Drosophila melanogaster: one gene and its partners. The protein of the gene in region 1 interacts with the protein of each later gene in a pairwise test. Each region holds a gene or a part of one and is shown on either strand. Other genes may lie near its edges.

The links.
Region 2: the proteins of mdlc (region 1) and gudu interact in a two-hybrid assay, tested with the Drosophila melanogaster proteins (one large-scale study listed by BioGRID).
Region 3: the proteins of mdlc (region 1) and Tao interact in a two-hybrid assay, tested with the Drosophila melanogaster proteins (one large-scale study listed by BioGRID).

Annotation. Positions count from the first base shown.
Region 1 is NT_033777.3:20,054,904-20,060,368, forward strand, and holds mdlc (midlife crisis), read left to right. Parts: upstream 1-2,844; 5' UTR 2,845-2,950; coding exon 2,951-3,056; intron 3,057-3,114; coding exon 3,115-3,841; intron 3,842-3,908; coding exon 3,909-4,149; 3' UTR 4,150-4,388; downstream 4,389-5,465. Other genes in the region: CG4390 (uncharacterized protein), read right to left, coding at 1,608-2,471, 4,664-4,792.
Region 2 is NT_033779.5:7,386,009-7,392,101, reverse strand, and holds gudu (gudu), read right to left. Parts: upstream 3,595-6,093; 5' UTR 3,427-3,594; coding exon 2,810-3,426; intron 2,728-2,809; coding exon 1,476-2,727; intron 1,415-1,475; coding exon 1,274-1,414; 3' UTR 1,200-1,273; downstream 1-1,199. Other genes in the region: CG5160 (uncharacterized protein), read left to right, coding at 1-26, 83-241, 304-456, 599-1,027; CG5149 (uncharacterized protein), read left to right, coding at 3,999-4,127, 5,454-5,678, 5,920-6,093. UniProt on the Drosophila melanogaster protein: Important for spermatogenesis where it may have a role in sperm individualization.
Region 3 is NC_004354.4:19,576,102-19,582,408, forward strand, and holds the start of Tao (Tao), read right to left. Parts: upstream 3,700-6,307; 5' UTR 3,297-3,699; intron 2,402-3,296; exon of another isoform or gene 1,801-2,401; intron 1,494-1,800; 5' UTR 1,394-1,493; coding exon 1,164-1,393; intron 1,099-1,163; coding exon 594-1,098; intron 295-593; coding exon 1-294. Other genes in the region: CG14218 (uncharacterized protein), read right to left, coding at 4,445-4,833, 4,895-5,558. UniProt on the Drosophila melanogaster protein: Serine/threonine-protein kinase which regulates the Hippo/SWH (Sav/Wts/Hpo) signaling pathway, a signaling pathway that plays a pivotal role in organ size control and tumor suppression by restricting proliferation and promoting apoptosis.

The DNA.
Region 1 (5,465 bases):
TGACACATTCAAGCTATATGAAAATGTGATATCTTAAGCCTTTGGCCATGTTTCTTAGCCTAAGAATATTTTAACAAAAAACAAGATTTTCTTTGCTTGAACAATTTAACGTTTCTCAAACGAACATAAAGTGGAAAATTCGTTGTAATCTCTTTCTTGACAGCCAAGGAACAGAAAGGAACGTTTTCGTAGCTGCCAAAAGCATTTTGCAACCTCTTTTGAAAGATCAAGTTCATGGCTTTTTGCCTTTGAGTCCCACCAATCCCATCCGCCAAAGAAGTGTTCGAAATTTAAATGAAGCTCTGGTAATGAGAAACCAAGACTGTTTTTCTTTAAGCTTAATTCTAGCCCAAAAGTACGATTGCCCCAAAAGTAATAATGGAAAATTTATAATGAGTGAAATAACAATTCTAAGTCTAAGAAGAGCCCAAAGCAGTTCTGCAAAGTCCCTTTGATAATAAAACCATAAAATTCAATAGCCAAATCATAATATGCAAATGATGGCCAGTGAAAAAAACAAGGCTTAAATACTTTAAATAAGTTTGAAGCCCAGCACCCGTGGCAGAATCGACAAACTTGATGGATGGCGAAGGGATACGGAGCGTGAACTTGACTCTGAACTGTGAAAAATGGAGTGCTGATGGAAGTGTAAAAATGCCAGCATGCAGTAAAACGTCGGCCATAAAACATGTCGTACAGTTGCACATAAAAATTGGGGAAGGTGCTACCAATACCACACCTGACTAGCTGACTCGCTGACAGAATGTCAAGATCTGAGCTCGGTTTGAAATTGATTTACATGGGCCATATGGCTAAGGGCTTACCATGGGGCTTTGTTGTGTGCCAACTGCCATTAAATGGCTAATTAAGATTTCAGTCCGCTGGCAGTCGTCCAGCAGCTGGCCGCAAATCTCACGCCTTTTCAAATCCCTTTTTTTGGTACCCGATTTTCCGACCCGTTGGTATATAAAACACAAAAGCGCGCGAAGTTACACAAACAAAGGGGGGTCCAAAAAACAGGACTATCTCGCGCACACACGCAGTCACGCAAATACAGAGCTGGCGACTCCGATTGGTCCTAGTAAATATGGCGCCAAACGAGTCGAGAATGTCGCCTTTTGGTACCTCCGTTCGGTTCGGTTCCCTCTGTCACTAGCACATCTATTCCATCAGACGGCGTTTTTTCTACTGATGAATGAATCGTACGCAGGATGCCAGGATGCGGAAAGTTTCCAGCATGCCGTGGACCAACAACCGGAAAGCTTTTACTACGTTGCGAGCTTTTACCCTTACCACAAGTCCGGGAAAAAGTCCTTAGGAATTCGACGAATGCTGAATACCCATTACTTAAGTTTTTGTTTGTGAAAGGAAATTGCTGAACTTAAAACCGAAATAACAAAGTACACGCCATTTGTGTATAATCTTCTGTACATTGGCACCTAGAATGAATAAAAATATTTGTTTTTCAAAGTCCAAGTTCAAAGTTTAAAGTCAAGAATGTAAGAATACATTTTAGAAGCTCAGTCGAAATTGGTTTATTTACTGCCAAATTTACGTTGAATTATGGTTTCGGTGGAAACCAACGATTATGTACAAGCGGAATATCATCAAGCGGAAGCTGTGAGCAGGGCGGCATGGTAGGCGATGTGTTCGGCGACGAACGTGGCGATGTAGAAGTAGCTGTGATCGTATCCCTCGCGCTGCTTGAAGATGGTCTGGATGTGATCATTGCCATCTGCGGCAGCCAGCAGGTTCTCCGGCAGCAGCTGCTTGCCGGCCAGGAAGTTGTCTGCTGCACCTTGGTCGATGAAGAGCTCCTGCGGAGTGCTCTCGTACTGCGACACCAGATGCGTGGCATCCCACAGGGCCCAGTCATCCGGATTGGAGCCCAGATAGCCGGCAAAGGCCTTCTTGCCCCACGGGCACTCGGTGGGATTGGCAATCGGCGCAAAAGCGGACACCGACTGGTACAGCCCGGGATTCTTAAGCGCGCAGATCAGGGCTCCGTGGCCGCCCATACTGTGGCCGAATATACCGCGTTTACCGGGAACCACGGGCAGATTGGCATTGACCACATCCACCAGCTCCTGGGTCACATAGCTGTACATCTTGTAGTGCTTCGACCACGGCTCCTCCTTTGCATCCACATAGAATCCAGCCCCGCTTCCAAAGTCGTATGCATCATCTTGGCCGGCAATTTCCACGCCCCTGGGCGAAGTGTCCGGATTGACGACGATCAGGTTGTGGCGGGCGGCGTGCTGCTGGAATCCGCTCTTCTGGATGAAGTTCTCATGCGTGCAGGTCAGTCCGCTGAGGAAGAACAGCACCGGACACGGTTTACCCTCCAAAGCGGCCGGCGGCAGGAAGACGCCAAAGGTCATGTCGCACTTCAAGGTGTCCGAGCGATGGCGATACACGCGTTGCTCGCCCTCGAAGCACTTATTTGCGGACAGCTGTTCGAGCGTCATGTTCTGGGGGTGAAACGGAGTAAATAATTTGTAAGCTAAAACTGAAATCCATTAATTTTTAAAAACGCACTTGTTTTTTGACGATCTAAAAATAACAAGCGATAAGAAAACAGTGTGACCGCGTGTAGAGCGCCAAAAGTGGGAAGCTTTCAGAACATCTTGGTATCGATGATTAAAAGGGTAGATCCCATAGGAGTTAATATTTTCTAGAATTCTTTAAATTAATATAAATCTATTAATTATTACATATTGATGATGTATTAAATATGTAAAAATTGCAATTATTACAAACGAATATATTCCTCATAAGTAAACATTGAATTTTAATGTGCCCGTTTCATACAAAAATACTAACTCCATAACGATTGTTACGCAAGTACCATCACTAGCCGGGAAGAAGAAGCGCCAGTTGGCGAAATTGCTATTGTTAATTGTTGTTAACGTGAATTACTAGATAAGTACATAAATTTAAAAGCCGGAGAATGTCGGAAGAAGCGGCTAGCACCTCGTCCTTTGGCTTCAAGAAGCGGAACCTCAAGAAGGGAGCTGGAATTCGTCGCAAAAAGGAAACCAGCAGTGATGAATCTGGTAGGAACTTAATTTTACCGCCAACAAAGTAAATGGGCAAATATTATTGATATTCCAGCAAAAAGCAGCGATGAAGAGACCAAAGGCAAAGCCAGTGCTCTGGTGCGAGCCGAGAACCGCCGAAAGCGCACGAATCCCAACTTCCAGAGCACCAAGACAATGAGCAAAGCAAAGAGACAGGCGGGAGGAGTTGGTGATGATGGCTCATCCTCAGCCTCCGACGATGATAAACTGGGCATTGCGTACAAATCCAAACGCGAGGCGCTGCCCAGTGGACCCCAAGATCAGGGAGCTACATCGATTAACGAAATGGACACAGAATTGGATCGCGATGCGCAGGCAATTCATGCGCGAGCTCTGAAAATCAACGAAGAGCTGGAGGGCAAGGCGGACGATAAGATCTATCGCGGAATTAACAACTATGCGCAGTACTACAAGAAGCAGGATACAGCGGCAGGGAATGCCAGCTCCGGAATGGTACGAAGTGGCCCAATTAGGGCTCCTGCCCATCTTAGGGCCACTGTCAGGTGGGATTATCAGCCGGATATATGCAAGGATTACAAGGAAACAGGATATTGCGGCTTTGGCGACAGCTGTAAGTTTCTGCACGATCGCAGTGATTACAAAGCGGGCTGGCAATTGGAAATGGATCACGAAAATCAGCGAACGGGTGATGTAGACTCCGATGGCGATGATACCAAGTATGAGATTCACTCCGATGAAGAAACACTGCCTTTCAAGTGCCACATCTGCCGACAGAGTTTTGTCAATCCCGTGGTAACAAAGTATGAAGATGATAACGATTTCTAAACTGGATTTACTGAATAAATAACATATTTATCTTTCTTCCAGGTGCAAGCACTATTTCTGTGAAAAGTGCGCCTTGGCCCAGTACAAAAAGTCACAGCGCTGCATCATCTGTTCCCAGCAAACAAATGGTATTTTCAATCCCGCCAAAGAGCTGATAGCTCGCCTCAAGACAAACCCAATGGAAAACTCAGATAGTGATGAGGAGGAGGAATTTGGGAAAAAGGAGGATAAAGCGGAAGCAGGGGAGGAAGCTCAGGAGATTTCTTCGGATGATAGTGATTAAAATATTTTTTTAAATCATTTATACAGGTTGTGAAAGTAAATAGGGACATTGATTAGATGCTTCACATAAAATCCATTTTACAGCACATTTGCCGCATAAGTGTAGAAAGTAAAGTAAGGATTGTACCACCGATAGGTGGCGTGTAAGAAATTGTAAAACCCTTTGCCCCAAAGAGAATTGCTGATAAATCACTATTCTTACTTGTAACTAGAAAAATATATTTTGATAAGTTTTCAACCAAGAAATACTAGTTCTGTGGTATTTATTAAAATTTTTACTTATTTTTGGGCGATCTATTACGATTGGTTAACATACAAATTATGCACAGCAGTTCATCTGTAAGTTGTTTTAACACGTATATATGTATGTATTCATTATTATTTATAATTCATACTAAAATTTGATACATAGGGACGGGACTGGAAAGTTAATCGTGAAAAGCATTTTATAAAATTAATCACAACGAGGATTTTATATTAATGTTTAGTCCGCAGGACCTAAAAGCCTTACTCACCTCGGTCATAATGTGGCCAAAACTGAGCACAATGCTCCGTCGCTTGGGAAGATTTGAACAGGCGACTATGGAATATACGAATGAGCTTCTACCACTCACACTGGGCAGACGAAGGAAATTTCTTCCCATTCCCAAGGGAGCTGCAATAACTTTGTGATTTCGATCGAGTATTGCTTGACGTTTGAAACGATCAAAGGCCAACTTTGACCAAATTTAAACTTGGCAAGCAACTGAAACTACTGCCTTCTTGAAGCGGCAAAATTTTGGCCCAATCTTATAGCCATAATTTAATTGTCAGCACTTTCATTTCCCGTTTCGCTCGCATCAGAAAGCACAGGCACAGAAAGTAGGGGAATTGGAAGCTGGGAAACGTAGTAAAGCGGGCCAAACTTATACGGAAGTGAATTCGTTTGACTTTTGCCCGCTAAAATCAAAACCTCCTGCCAAACTTCTAGGCCGCATTGTTTCACAGCACAAAGCCGAAATATTGGCCAGTGGTAACGAATCGATGCTTAGCCACAAATTCCAAAATCCATCCGGCTTCTCTGCCCACCCTTTTTCCCTAGCTCCGAGCATGCAAAATATGAGCACATAAGCCTTTAAAAGCAGCCCAGCTGCCCAGGATGAGCAAAAAGGATAAAACTTCTATTTTCCAGGATCCTAGCTGCCACAATGTCGAGCCGATTTTATTGGAGGGGTTTATGCAGAAGGTTTGCCTGTTCCTCTGGTTACGCATAATACTTTTACCTCGTTTGTATACACCATTCACATTTCTTTAAGACAGCCACTATTCAGATGCTGG
Region 2 (6,093 bases), on another chromosome or scaffold:
TTCTGGACGCCACCGGTCAGCTACAAGTGGGTTTTAAATTGCATTTTTCATTTTGCAAGACATTAAAGACCATTTCATGTAGGAACTAGATGGAGTTAGTCTGGAGTCCAACATCCGCTGGGCCGACGCATTTATACTAATGTACTCCATTACGGACAAGTGTTCCTTCGACGAGTGCAGTCGCCTAAAGTTCCTCATCAATTACAATAAACGAAGACGCAAGTTGGGCTCGGCCAGTAAAGTTAGTAAATTACTTAATTTTGAACCACCTATAGGAAGCTTATTTATATACCATATTTCCAGGAATACGCACTGGATATTCCTGTCATACTGGTGGGCAATAAGACAGATCAGCCGGGCGATCGAATGGTCAGCTTGGAAGAGGGTCAGCGCCGATTCAGGGAGTTATCCTGCTCCTGTTTTCACGAGATTTCCGTCAGAGAGAGCGTGGATCAAGTAAGAGGAAAAATTTTCTTACAAAAGATTTCTTTATTAAGGTGAAGTGAAATTAAACTTTTGTCTGATAAATTAATCTTCCATTTACCATCACATGGCACCTTATAAATATACGATTTGTTTATTCACTCATTCCAACCAGGTGCAGAATGTTTTTCGCGATGTGTTTCGCTTCTGGCGAGTCTTCAGCAAATTCCCCAAGCTCAAGCGCTCCACCAGCGATGTGGCCAATACGGATGGAATCCTCACGCCCGATTCGGGATCCTGTTCCTTCTACGATGCCTCGTCTTTGGGCGTCGGTCGACATTCCTTTCTGGTCATCGGAAGCGCCTGTTTGGAGGAGAGCAACGGTGACCATACGGAGTCTACGGATGAGATTACGAGTAGCAGTTTGAGCAGCTCACGCAGCGACATCGATGCTCCCTTCCGTAGTAGAGCTTCGACGGACGGCACCCTGTTGTCCCGACCACGTAGATGGCGGTATCCACCGCCGGGATGCCTGCTGCCACACACGAATCGCGTGGAGCGACGGATGAGCATTTCCACCAGGGGCAGTAATGCCAGTTACTAGAGTGGAATTTTATGCAGGGTGGGTCGAGCTTAGTTAGTCAAAATATGTAGCGACAAATATATAATTATATAGCTAGATGTTATTGTCATGGAAAATGAAACATATTTTTCTGGGATTTCTGGTTTAAAAATTTACTAACTTATTAATTTATTTGCTAAAAATGCAAGAAATTGGTAGCATCGGCATACACACATATATTTCGTCAAATACAATTAAATAACTTAACAAAGAAAAAAAAACAGGAAGCTAGTCATCGTCGATTTTAAGCAGATATTCCTCGGCACGCAAGGCCAATTCGCGGATATTGCGCAGACAACCAGCGGCGGCCAACTGGAGCTCCTTGTTAGTGGATCCAATGCACTCCAGCAGGAAAGGAACAACTCCACTCTGAAGTAAAATAAAAGAATCTAAATGAGTTGCTAAGTGTGATTAGGTAGAAGAAATGTACCTGGTGCATGGTAATGCAGTTCTGCGGATCCATCGATAGCTTCTCCAGTGCCATGGCCGTGCTGCGGTGCACCAAGGGATTGTCGCTGGTCATGTAGGTGACAATCGGAGTGACAGTACGCAGACGTCCCAGTTCCTCCGTATTATTACCGAAGCAGGCACAGGCGGCCACGGCAGCTGCCAAGTTCATTCGAAGGAGGTCGTCGGTGGTCTGGACGAGATCGGCTAGCTTGTAGATGACTTTCAGATCGGTTAAGATGGCTAGATTGGTTTGATCCTGGGCAATTGTTGCAATGGCAGCACAAACGGCGGATAAGACCATGATATCCTTGGACTTTAGCAGACCCACCACCAGTTCCATGGCGCCAACCAAGCTCCTGACCAATTCAGCGGAATCGTTGGCATTTCGAACACAGGGACATATGGCGTAAGCCGCATGGGCCTGAACCCTAGTTGTGGGGTTCTTCAATAGCGACCATATCAGCCTGACCGCATCCAGATCCTCAAGGATTCTCATGCTGTCCGGATCTTCGGCACACTCCTTCAATCCCTTGGCTAAATTTTCCAGAAGAGGGGCGTGAGAACTGTTGAGTAGGGAAACCATTGCTGGTAATCCTCCAGCCTGACGCAGTTGCTCCCTATTGCTTTGAAATCTCACACATTCAGATATAGCTCCGGTCACGTTGGTCAGGACCTCGTCACACTCATCATTTAGCAAGGCCACCAGGTGGTTCACCGTCCTGAGTTGATCCAGCACTTTGACATTTGCATCGGTTACGGCACACATCCAAATCGCTCCAGTGGCGCCTCTCAATAAAGGCTTATTTTCCCTCACATTCTTGTCCTTTATGATAGTTACCAAAGGTTCCAAGCCCCCAGCCTCCCTCACCAAATCCCTGGTGGTTCCGTCGAAGGCGCACTTGTAGATCGCTGTACTGCCCTCCATCTTCAGCTCGGTATTTTCGGAACTCAGATGGCTCACAATGTCGGGAATCATGCCCTCGGTGGTGATGGCCAGTTGGAACTTCGGCTCCGAGGAGCACTTTCGAACGGTGCCCATTATGGGAATGACGACATCGATGTGACAGGACTTAAGGAGCTGAGCCATCAAAGGAACAATTCCGCTCTTGCGCATCTGCTCCATGTTGTGCTTGGAATCGGCCAGAGTGAAAAGAGCCCGGGCTCCAGCGCGTGTCATATCGAGAGATTCCAGATCATCTGGACTCAATTGGTCACGAGGCGTCTTTAGAATGCTATAATATAATTAGGTTTTTTTTTAATTATTTCTTATATGTGGTGATGTAGTATGAAGCACTTTATCCAATGCCAACTCACCTCAACTTGATGTCGATGAGATCCACCAGCTTGGGGATTCCTCCGCAGGTGCGCACATACTTTCTGGCCAGTCGCACCTTGCACACATTGGCCAATGTCTCGGCGGCCATGGTTTTTAGGTCCTTCATGGAAGAGTTTAGGATGTCCACAATGAGGGGAATGCCATCCAGATCTACGATGGTCTTCCTAATATCGATGTTCAGTGTGATATCTGAGAGAACTTTGAGGGCGCCCAAACAGCACTTGGTGTCGCTGCACTCCAGGATGTTAACCAAGACATCGAGTCCGCCGATGTCCGAGATGGCGAACTGATTGATCTGGGTGCTCAGATCGTAGTCCTTCAAGCAGCACAACGATACTATAGTGGCTGTCTGATTGCCCGCCTTGATGTATTTCACCAGTTTTTGGATATTATAATAGTCAGCCGGAATCTCAGCGGCTCGCGCCACTTCCTTCCAGCGTTCCTCCTCATCCGTAGACGATTCCACCTCCGTGGTATCCGAGTCCTCGGCGGCCACCTGGCGCTTATCCTTTGAGAATCTGTTGGGACAGGATCCGCACTGTTCTTTCTTCTTTCGACTCCGATTGTGGGACGTTCCGCTGCTAGTGCCAATCATCCTTTCGCGTTGGATTACTCACAGATTTGGCCAATCGTATTCCGGAAATATCTGTCGGTATGCCAGCTTTCTTCAGTTTTGTATCGGAATTTATTGTGTTTTTGTGTGGGAGAACTTTATTAGGCCAGGCAATTGATTTAATAAGGCGTGTTGCTAAGGTAACTGAGATAATTTCAAAAATACCGGGCTAGGGCAAAGGTATCTTAGCTCAAACTTGTAAGTTTTTTTTTATTTTAATAAATTTTTAACTACAGCTATCCAAGGCATTTAAAATTTATTTTATTCGCTTGGCCTTCGTTGAATTCGCTTAGCGGTTAAAATTAACCGTTTAGCAAATACATCGACCTGACTTAGCACAGACAATAACCATTCATAGTGCAGACGACCACCGCGAAATTTACCCGTTTCCGAAACTATCGAGGGTATCGCAGGGAAATCGACTGCCATTCCATCACCAGCTTGTGTTGTTTGTTTTTTATTTTCAATTAAAATCCGCGATCATCCGCAGCTGCAGCTGCATTGTTTGTTTACCAGCCGTCGTAGCACCAGCCAACTGAATTTCGTGTCCTGAGATGGGAAATGCGAGTGGCAAGCGGGAGACGGATAATCTCTACAATTCGGAAGAGCTACGCATGCTGGAATCCGCGTACAAAAACGCCTCTGGCGGAGCACTTGAGAAGTTGACCCAAGACAGATTGGTGGTAAGTCAAGTAAATCCAGTTACCGTGCCACGTGTGCACTGCGAAAATCAATGGCAACTGCATTCTGCATTTGCGGAAGGGTCAGGGTCACAAGTTCAAGGACGCGCGGAGTGAACTTTCTTCGGCAAAAAAAGAGAAATCGGGACTTTCGAGTGCATGACAAACGGCCGTCCATCCACCTGCTGCGATGGCCACCCTTCACTTGAATGGGTATATCCTTTAGGGCATTAATTTGTTGTTGTCACTAACTCCTATTTCGAGGATTAAACATTGAAGTTAATCATAGTACTATGTTCCGAAAAAGAAGCTTAGTTATATAAGAGAGTGAGTCGCAACATTATCCGGCATTATACAAAAGTTCAAAGTTTCTAAACCTTATTTTAATACAGTTCTTTTTCGATTTAAAGTGCAAACCAGGAAATTTAACAGAGTTTATAAAAAGTAAATTATTCAACTTGTTTAAAAATGTAATTTTCTAAACTAGTCAGTCCTATTTAGATTAAATGTACACGTAACTTTCCAAAATTGTTATTTTAACCCATTTAGTTAAATCAATCTGATCATACACAATTTATGCTATAATTTTTCCGATGCGGGTTCAAGGCCCCAGATTTGTGTTTTATTTTTATCACAGCACAGATGACGGAAATGCAACCACTCAAAAAATGTTTGTTTGTAACCAGATGATGATTTTTCCTTATAATATTTCCATCTATTTATAGCTCGTGTTTGATTATCACAGCGCTTCCTAGGGTATAGCAAAATTCGATATCTTCAACTCGGGCGTTATCAGTTTCGAATTGATAATTCCTGGGCCAGTGCGAACGTGTCCATAATTTGTCTAATTTGTTTGCTGCCGCATTTCACTGTTTGTCTTTTGCTTTGTTGAATTTGCTTGCTAACGAATTAGTCGTGATTTCAATGACTGGGGTCGTCAATTAGGGCCAAACCCAATTGAATTAAAAATAAACCATATGCTTAACCCGTTTACAGCATGGCATGTGAAATAGTTGATTTTTAGAATGAGGAAATTATAAGACTTGCATTCATATAGAGTAATTTAAGCGGAAACTCTCTAAATTGAAACTTTACATACATTGAAGTAGTATTTATTTTCATAAAACTTGAGAGACTTTGTTTTCAGTCAAACCAAATTATTATTCATTGTACGTCCTTCAATGGGTTAATCTGTGTCAGCGCTTCCCAGACCTTCGTTCCCTGCAAGAATTTGCTGACAGCAGCGGGAAAATTATGTTTACGTATCCGGCGCGCATTTTGTTTATGTACACACATATACATGTATCTGTTGTTTTGTTTCGAAAATAGGAAACTTGGTCGCAAACCATCGAAAGATCCCTGGCCGAAAGTACGGCTCAGTATCTATTTACGCCCACGAAGCCAGGTCAGCAATGTGTCAACCTTCAGCTGAAGAAATTTGGAGAGCCCTACTACATCATGGAACGCGGTACTATTGACCAGAAAATGCAAATGCTCCTGGGCTCAATGGAGAGAAGTGGAAATGACACCTTCAACAGCAAGCAATTGGAGCAAGTGAGTCTATAAATAAGTAGTCATTGTCATCAGATCGCGGAAATAATATTTATAACTTCTGTCAGCCGAGCCTCATTAGGATTCATAACATGTTTGTTATTGAATTAGGTTTAGCTCTCCATTTATGTTTATCCTGAAAACTAGATTTCCACGTTTATTTTCTTAGCTGTCATATGAACAACTTGTTTATTTAATTCTTTTATCTTTTGCTCGCGAATTAATCAATTTTATAATTCCCCAGTATATCTACTCGGTGATCAAGAGCTACGTGCACTTGGAAAGTACAGCGAAAAACTCTGGCATCAAGGAGTGGCACGATCTTGGCTTTAACACCACGGAAAGGTCCGCCGCCACATTTGCCAAGGGCCTTATGAGAAATCTGGGCAAGGAGCTAGAGCACACTATGCCCAACGAT
Region 3 (6,307 bases), on another chromosome or scaffold:
CTTGCTGCTGTCGCCGCCGGCATGGTCGTCCTGTTGGTCGTCGGTGTCGCCCACGGCGCTCTCCGTCTCGCAGGTGTCCACCATGAGTATCTTCTTCATCTTGCGGTAATTGAGGTTGTCCAGCTCGCGCACCGCTGACTTGGTGCGCGCGATCAGCTCCAGCAGCACGGTGTCGGAACGCGGTCGGGTCACGTAGGCGTGGGTCAACAGCTTGGCCGACGAGGGTCGCTCTGCTGGCATCTTCTTGAGGCACAGTTCAACAAAGCTGCAAAACGCATCCGACCAGTCGTTCTTCTGTCGGGTTGAAATCGAATAGGTTTGATAATTGTTTATAACATTCAAATTGCACTTACTTAGTTTACTTTAAAATTGCTTTACAAAGTTCTGAATCATAAACACTTTTTTAAGCAGAATCTGGAGGCTCTACTATACAAATGGGTAAAATATAACTTGCCCCAGCCCCAAAAGTGGGAAATAAAACAATAACACTAGGGACACATGAGAGCGATACGTAAATAAATACATTGGCATACTTCAGTTTTGCTATCAAAACAGACTCCTACCAAGAAATTAAAACTTCGATTGCTACTCACCGGAAGAGTCGGCGACTCATTCTGCGCAATGTGGTAGAGCGCCGACATGGCGTTCATGTTAAAGTAGGGAGGCTTGCGCTCTGCCAGTTCGATGCAGGTGATGCCCAGCGACCACACGTCCACCTTGCCGTCGTATTGGCCCTCGTCCATGGCCAGGATCACCTCGGGCGCCATCCAATAGGGCGTGCCGACAAAACTGTTGGCCGGACACTTGATGGCAGCGCTACCGAAATCGGCCAGCTTGACGACGCCGTTGTCCGTGAGCAGGATGTTGCCCGCCTTGATGTCACGGTGGATGCGGCCCAGCGAGTGCAGATAGCTCAACCCACTGAGCACGCCCAGACAGATGGCGGCGATCTCGTCCTCGTGCAGCGGCTTCTTGTGCACCTCGATGATGTCCGAGGCGGAGCCCACGCAGTACTCCATCACCAGCCAGGCGGTTGATTCGCGCAAATAGCATCCCTTGTATTCTATGGTGTTCGGGTGGTTCAATTGGCGAAGGAAGCTGTTGTGTACACATAAATTGATTAGAAGTCACTCGGGCGAACGCAAGTGTCAGCCAGTGCTCACCGTATCTCTTTGAGAATATCCTGCCACTTCTCCTGGCTCTGCTTGCCGGTGTACGACATCTTTTTGATGGCCACGATCTCCCTGGTGAGGTTGCATCGCGCATAATAGACCGCGCCGAAAGACCCATGGCCGATTTCGCGCAGGTCCTCGAAGATTTTCTCCGGGTCATGCTTGTTGAATAGGTCGGCTATTTCCGGATCCTTGAGACTACCAGGTCGTGCCGAAGGCATGGCTGTCTTTCATGCTCTAGCCCAGCTCTCTCAGTGGTCGACCTGCGTGCTTCTCCTCGCAGCTTGCAGCTCCAGCTGGCTACTCTGCTGTCTTGAAGTTCTGTGCGGATCGGGTGGGGCGAAAAAAAGGCGATTCCGGTTAGTCAGTCACATTCACAGCCTGCGCCAGTCACTTAGTCATGTTCAAAGGGTCGACATTTTTGGGGGATTTCAGGCTGAAACGCTGAGACTGCGGACCAATTGAATTGGGCGGCACGGGGCGTAGCGGGAATGGCTGGGCCAGTGGACAGTGGGCACTGTGCTTTGGTCAGCATTTGCATGGGGAGACGGTCAAACGGACGGACGGATGGGAACAGCTAAAAGCCGACTATCATCAAATCGATCAAGTGATTCATGCTCGCACATACTGTACGAATCATTCAAAACTCCGAATTCCGCACGCAGCACGGCCTTATCGCAAATATATTCACTGTTGGCACCGTCTTTTATGGCCAGGCTATTTTCCTCAGCTTGTTACCAACTTGTCAGCTGCTTTTTGGCCAGATTACGACAGCTGGGGTGTAAGTGGTCTAGGGCATTTGGCAGTCGGTATGACTAACGCCGTTAAGTTCATTTGCTTGGATTTCGAACAAGTAATGAGTGGAGTGGATGCGCACGTGCAGTAGGGCGGTATTTGTGGTCAAGCTGGACTAACTAGCTAGGTGTAGGGTATGCACACGTGCTGCAGGGTAATCAAAGGTCGTTACGACTGACACACAAACACACGCGAGCTGCCAAGGAGTAACGGCACCAAAGGGGTGCATTTATCGCCGTTGCGAATCCAAATACACACACACACATGCATACATTGGAGTATGCATGTCTGTGCATGCGGAGGCGTTTTGCGGGCGTCTGCGGATATCCGCCGGCTAAAGACGCGGATTTTGGCCCCCGTCGGAGCTCCGGCTTTCGCCTATCGCCGCCTGGCAAAAATTCTCAATACAATTAGTCCGCTGTGGTGCGGCGACTGCAATTCTTTGCCTGCGACGCGAAACAGAAACACGCCTATTTTTCATAGCCACCACACTATTGCACAAAGAGCAGCCATGTCGCTCACACACACTCACGCGCGCGCTCTATATGTATATGTGCGGTGGGATTGCTTGTTGTTTTGCATTTCGGGCGACACAAATTCAATTCAATTCGTGCCTTTTCCGTGGCTTGCACTGTGCTGTGGCGCTCCGTCACAGGGAATTGTAGTAGAATACCAAAGAGTTCTGCGATTCGAATTGATTTTCAGTTGGGTTGGCTTTTCCTTGGGTGCGGACTAGGCACACACCGAAGGAGCCGAAAAAGAACGCACGAAGGCGGTGATGCTGCGCCAGTTGTTGGTTTTCTTCGTTGACTGACCACTTATTGACTGATTACCATGGTTGATCTATGTGTTGCGATTAAAATTGGCTTATTTCGCTGCATTTTGCAACTGTTTTGAATCGCCTAATTTTGTTTTGCTTGCACACACACACACTCACGCTCGTCGGGGGAGCAGACAAATACACACACATTCGTATGGTTCGACTGGTGCTATCCCGTTCTCGCGCGTTGAGGGAGTCGTCGCACCGAAATCAGATGTAGCACTCAGAACCCGCAAATGCGCTGTATTTGATTGAAATTTGTGGGATCAATGATAATACCACATTGTTAATTCAATGGGCAGATGGCACACAAGAAATTCGCATTTATTGGCCAAAACGCAAACGCGAAAAAGAACAGTATGCACATACACACACGTACACGAGCATACGCATTCACACACACAGGCACACACGCACACAGGGATGGAGAGACAGTGGAAAATGCATAAATCTGGCGAGGCGAAAAAGAAAAAACGTTTGAACTTTTTCCACTGCGTTCGAGGGCTTACATTTGGCAATCAATTAGTGCTTGCTTGTTTATCGGCGCAACTGGGTCTCGCTTTTCGCATCTGTATGCATTTTTCCCTTTCATACGTCGCTTTCCCTACGACCGCTGCTGCTGTTATTGGCCCTGCTGCGACTGGGAACGGGAATCGGAATGGGACTGGTAGTGGTAGTGATACTGCTACTGGGAATGGCAACTATTGCCCTGCACTGCACACGCGTTGCGTTCACGAATCCGCACTGGCTACACATCTCGAGTGCCAAGCACCGAATTCGGGGGATCGTTACGTCGCAGATGCACCCATCTACGGCATGGAAAATTGGCAGCGATTGTCTATTTGCAACTTTTCTTCACCCGTTTCTCTAATTAAATTCCGTAAAGTTCACGTTCACACAGCACACAGTGTTACCAGATCAGCCGAGCGGCTTGAAACCAAAAACTACCACTGACCGCTTTTTACTAAAAAATCCCGATTTTAGGCGATATATTTAAAATTAACTTATTTTTTTCAATATGTTTGCGAAGTTAACTCTTGCAGAGGCGTTTTTATAGTTGAATTCGCTCAATTCAATTAGTTTTAAGAGAAAAGGTTCGTTTTTTGGTCTCTATCGATAGTCTATCGAACGTGCACCGGGTGGTGATGTCCGTGGTTACGCTATCGTTTTGGAATTATTAGTTTTTTTTTTTAATGTTTGAAAATCAATAATTTAACTTATACAGAATTCTGCAGAATTACAGCTCACGAAATCGCAGTTGGGTATCTATGTTAGAAGAACACATATATGTATCAAATTTTTAATAACTTTTTAATAGCTCAGTTCGCTAAGTCAAATACCGATACTCATCGCAACAAGTTTGGCGCACTTTTTGAAAACATACTGATAATTTCATGATACGGTATTTACTTAGCTATTTAACGCCCTCCTAGTTAATATAAATTACGGGGAACTTACATTATTACTTTATTTGATATGTTATTTACAACTATGCAAACTGGGAATACAAAAAAATGGATGCTTATATTTAAAATAGTTTATGTTCAATTTTAAGCACACTGCAACACATAAGCTATACATATGTACATACACATAATATATCAAGCTGCGAAGTTAATTTTATTGCCCACGTTGGAAAAATGAGAAACTCTACCGCTTAATTATAGAAGTACTGCTGCTGATTGAAAGTTGGGAAGCGATTCGTGTTGCCAAGCTCGAGGGGCGGGAAGTAGCCTTGGGATGATGCGGGAATACCAGAAGCACCCGCTGAACCCTGATCCTGACCCCCATCCTGACCCGCATCCTGAGCCCGCTGTCCAGCAAACGGCTGCCCAAAGTCGTCATCGCTCTCGTAGTTGACCAAAAATCGCGAAGCACTTGGTGGGGGAGAAGCAGGTTGGGAGTCAGGCCCATCTGCAGTGACAGGAAATGCAGCCGCATCCGGATCGGCAACTGAGTCCGGGTCCTGGGAGTCAACTAAGTCTCCGCTGTCTGGGTCAGCCGCCGCCGTCGCCTCCGCCACGGCTCGCGACCTAAAGAAGGTATCTGCAAAGTGTCGGAGAGAACCCAATTGTACGGCAGTTAGTTAAGAGGTTTCGTATTTTACCAGTAGGTTGTGCGTACTGATAGATAAGGCGGTCGCCCAGCTGGGCGGGACGCCGCTGTTGAGGATCGGGCTGCTGGGGTCGTGGGCGCGGCCGTGGCCTTGGGCGTGGCGGAGCTGTGGGCGGCGGCGGAGGAGGTGGAGGCGGTGGAGGTTCAGCTGGCGCCGCTGGCTGCGCATCATAGTCATAGTCGTAGTCATAGTTCGGCGGAGGAGGCGGTGCCAGTGTCGTTGGGCGTGGACGTGGTCGCACCTGCGGTCGGACGCGTCTAGGTGGCTGTGTAGTGGGCGGCGCAGGCGCTGGAGGTCGTGGTGCCGGAGGATCAGCGTAGTCCACATCGAAGGCCCCGGGCAGGAAACCGGAACTGAAGAACGGATGCCAGATGGGCTTACGAATGCGTATCGGAGCAGGTGGTGGTGGCGGAGGCGGCGTCGTCGTGGTGGTCGTCGGTGGACGACGTGTGGTCCGCGCCAGATTGGCCTTAGCCGAGGACAGCTGGGCGCTCTTGAGCAGCAGGTTACGCAGGAGCAGGCCAAAGTCCAGGGTGATGGTGCCTCGCTTTTCTCGCGCCACCTCCGTGTCCTGCGGCCCAGGATCGGCTGAGATCAGCGCCAGGAGCAGGCCCACCAACAGCAGGGCCATCAACTGCAGACGTAACATCCTCATCCTGACGGATCAAAGAGTATGTGTGTACCGCTCGAAAGGCCGTTCCAATCAGAACTGGCGCTGGTCAGCGCTGGAGTCGCCTGCCTGTACTCCAACGGAGTGGTGCCACGCGGGCCTGGGCGTCGCGGATTAAGTGCCCCCCCAAAGTCAACTAGTTAGACGGGTTAGCTGCGACCGTCCGCCTGGATCTCGTAATCGCAGACCCCGCCGACTGCCGGCGGTTATCAACGAGTTCAGTGCGTGGCAACAATTACTTTTGCACTACTTTTGCGCCAGTTTATAGATCGTAAGTGCAGCTCGAACTATGCATAATGCTTAGCGGCGAGTGCATTTTAAGAGGCTAAACAACACGCACCGTGGGACTAGAACTCCATATACCCACCTATATATATACCATACATACACATAGCATATACCATATAGTAGAGCTGCCTCCAACATAAGGGATTGATATACACAAGGGAACTAACTATCTGCAAGCTCATTAAGTATCTATACTATTTAGATTGTTCTGTGTCGAGTACGAATCTACATGTTTTAAAACCCTAACAAAATATCAATAATTCACAGATAAGTTTCCCATAAGATAGGGAAATCATTCATAGATTGCTTGTTTTATAATTGTAAACTCAAGTGGTTATATACCATATACAAACGTATGTATGTACATACTACCAATTTCACTTGAACTTGTGTCAAATCTCATTCCTCAAAACAGTTCAAATGTTCAACAATGAAGATTATCTGAA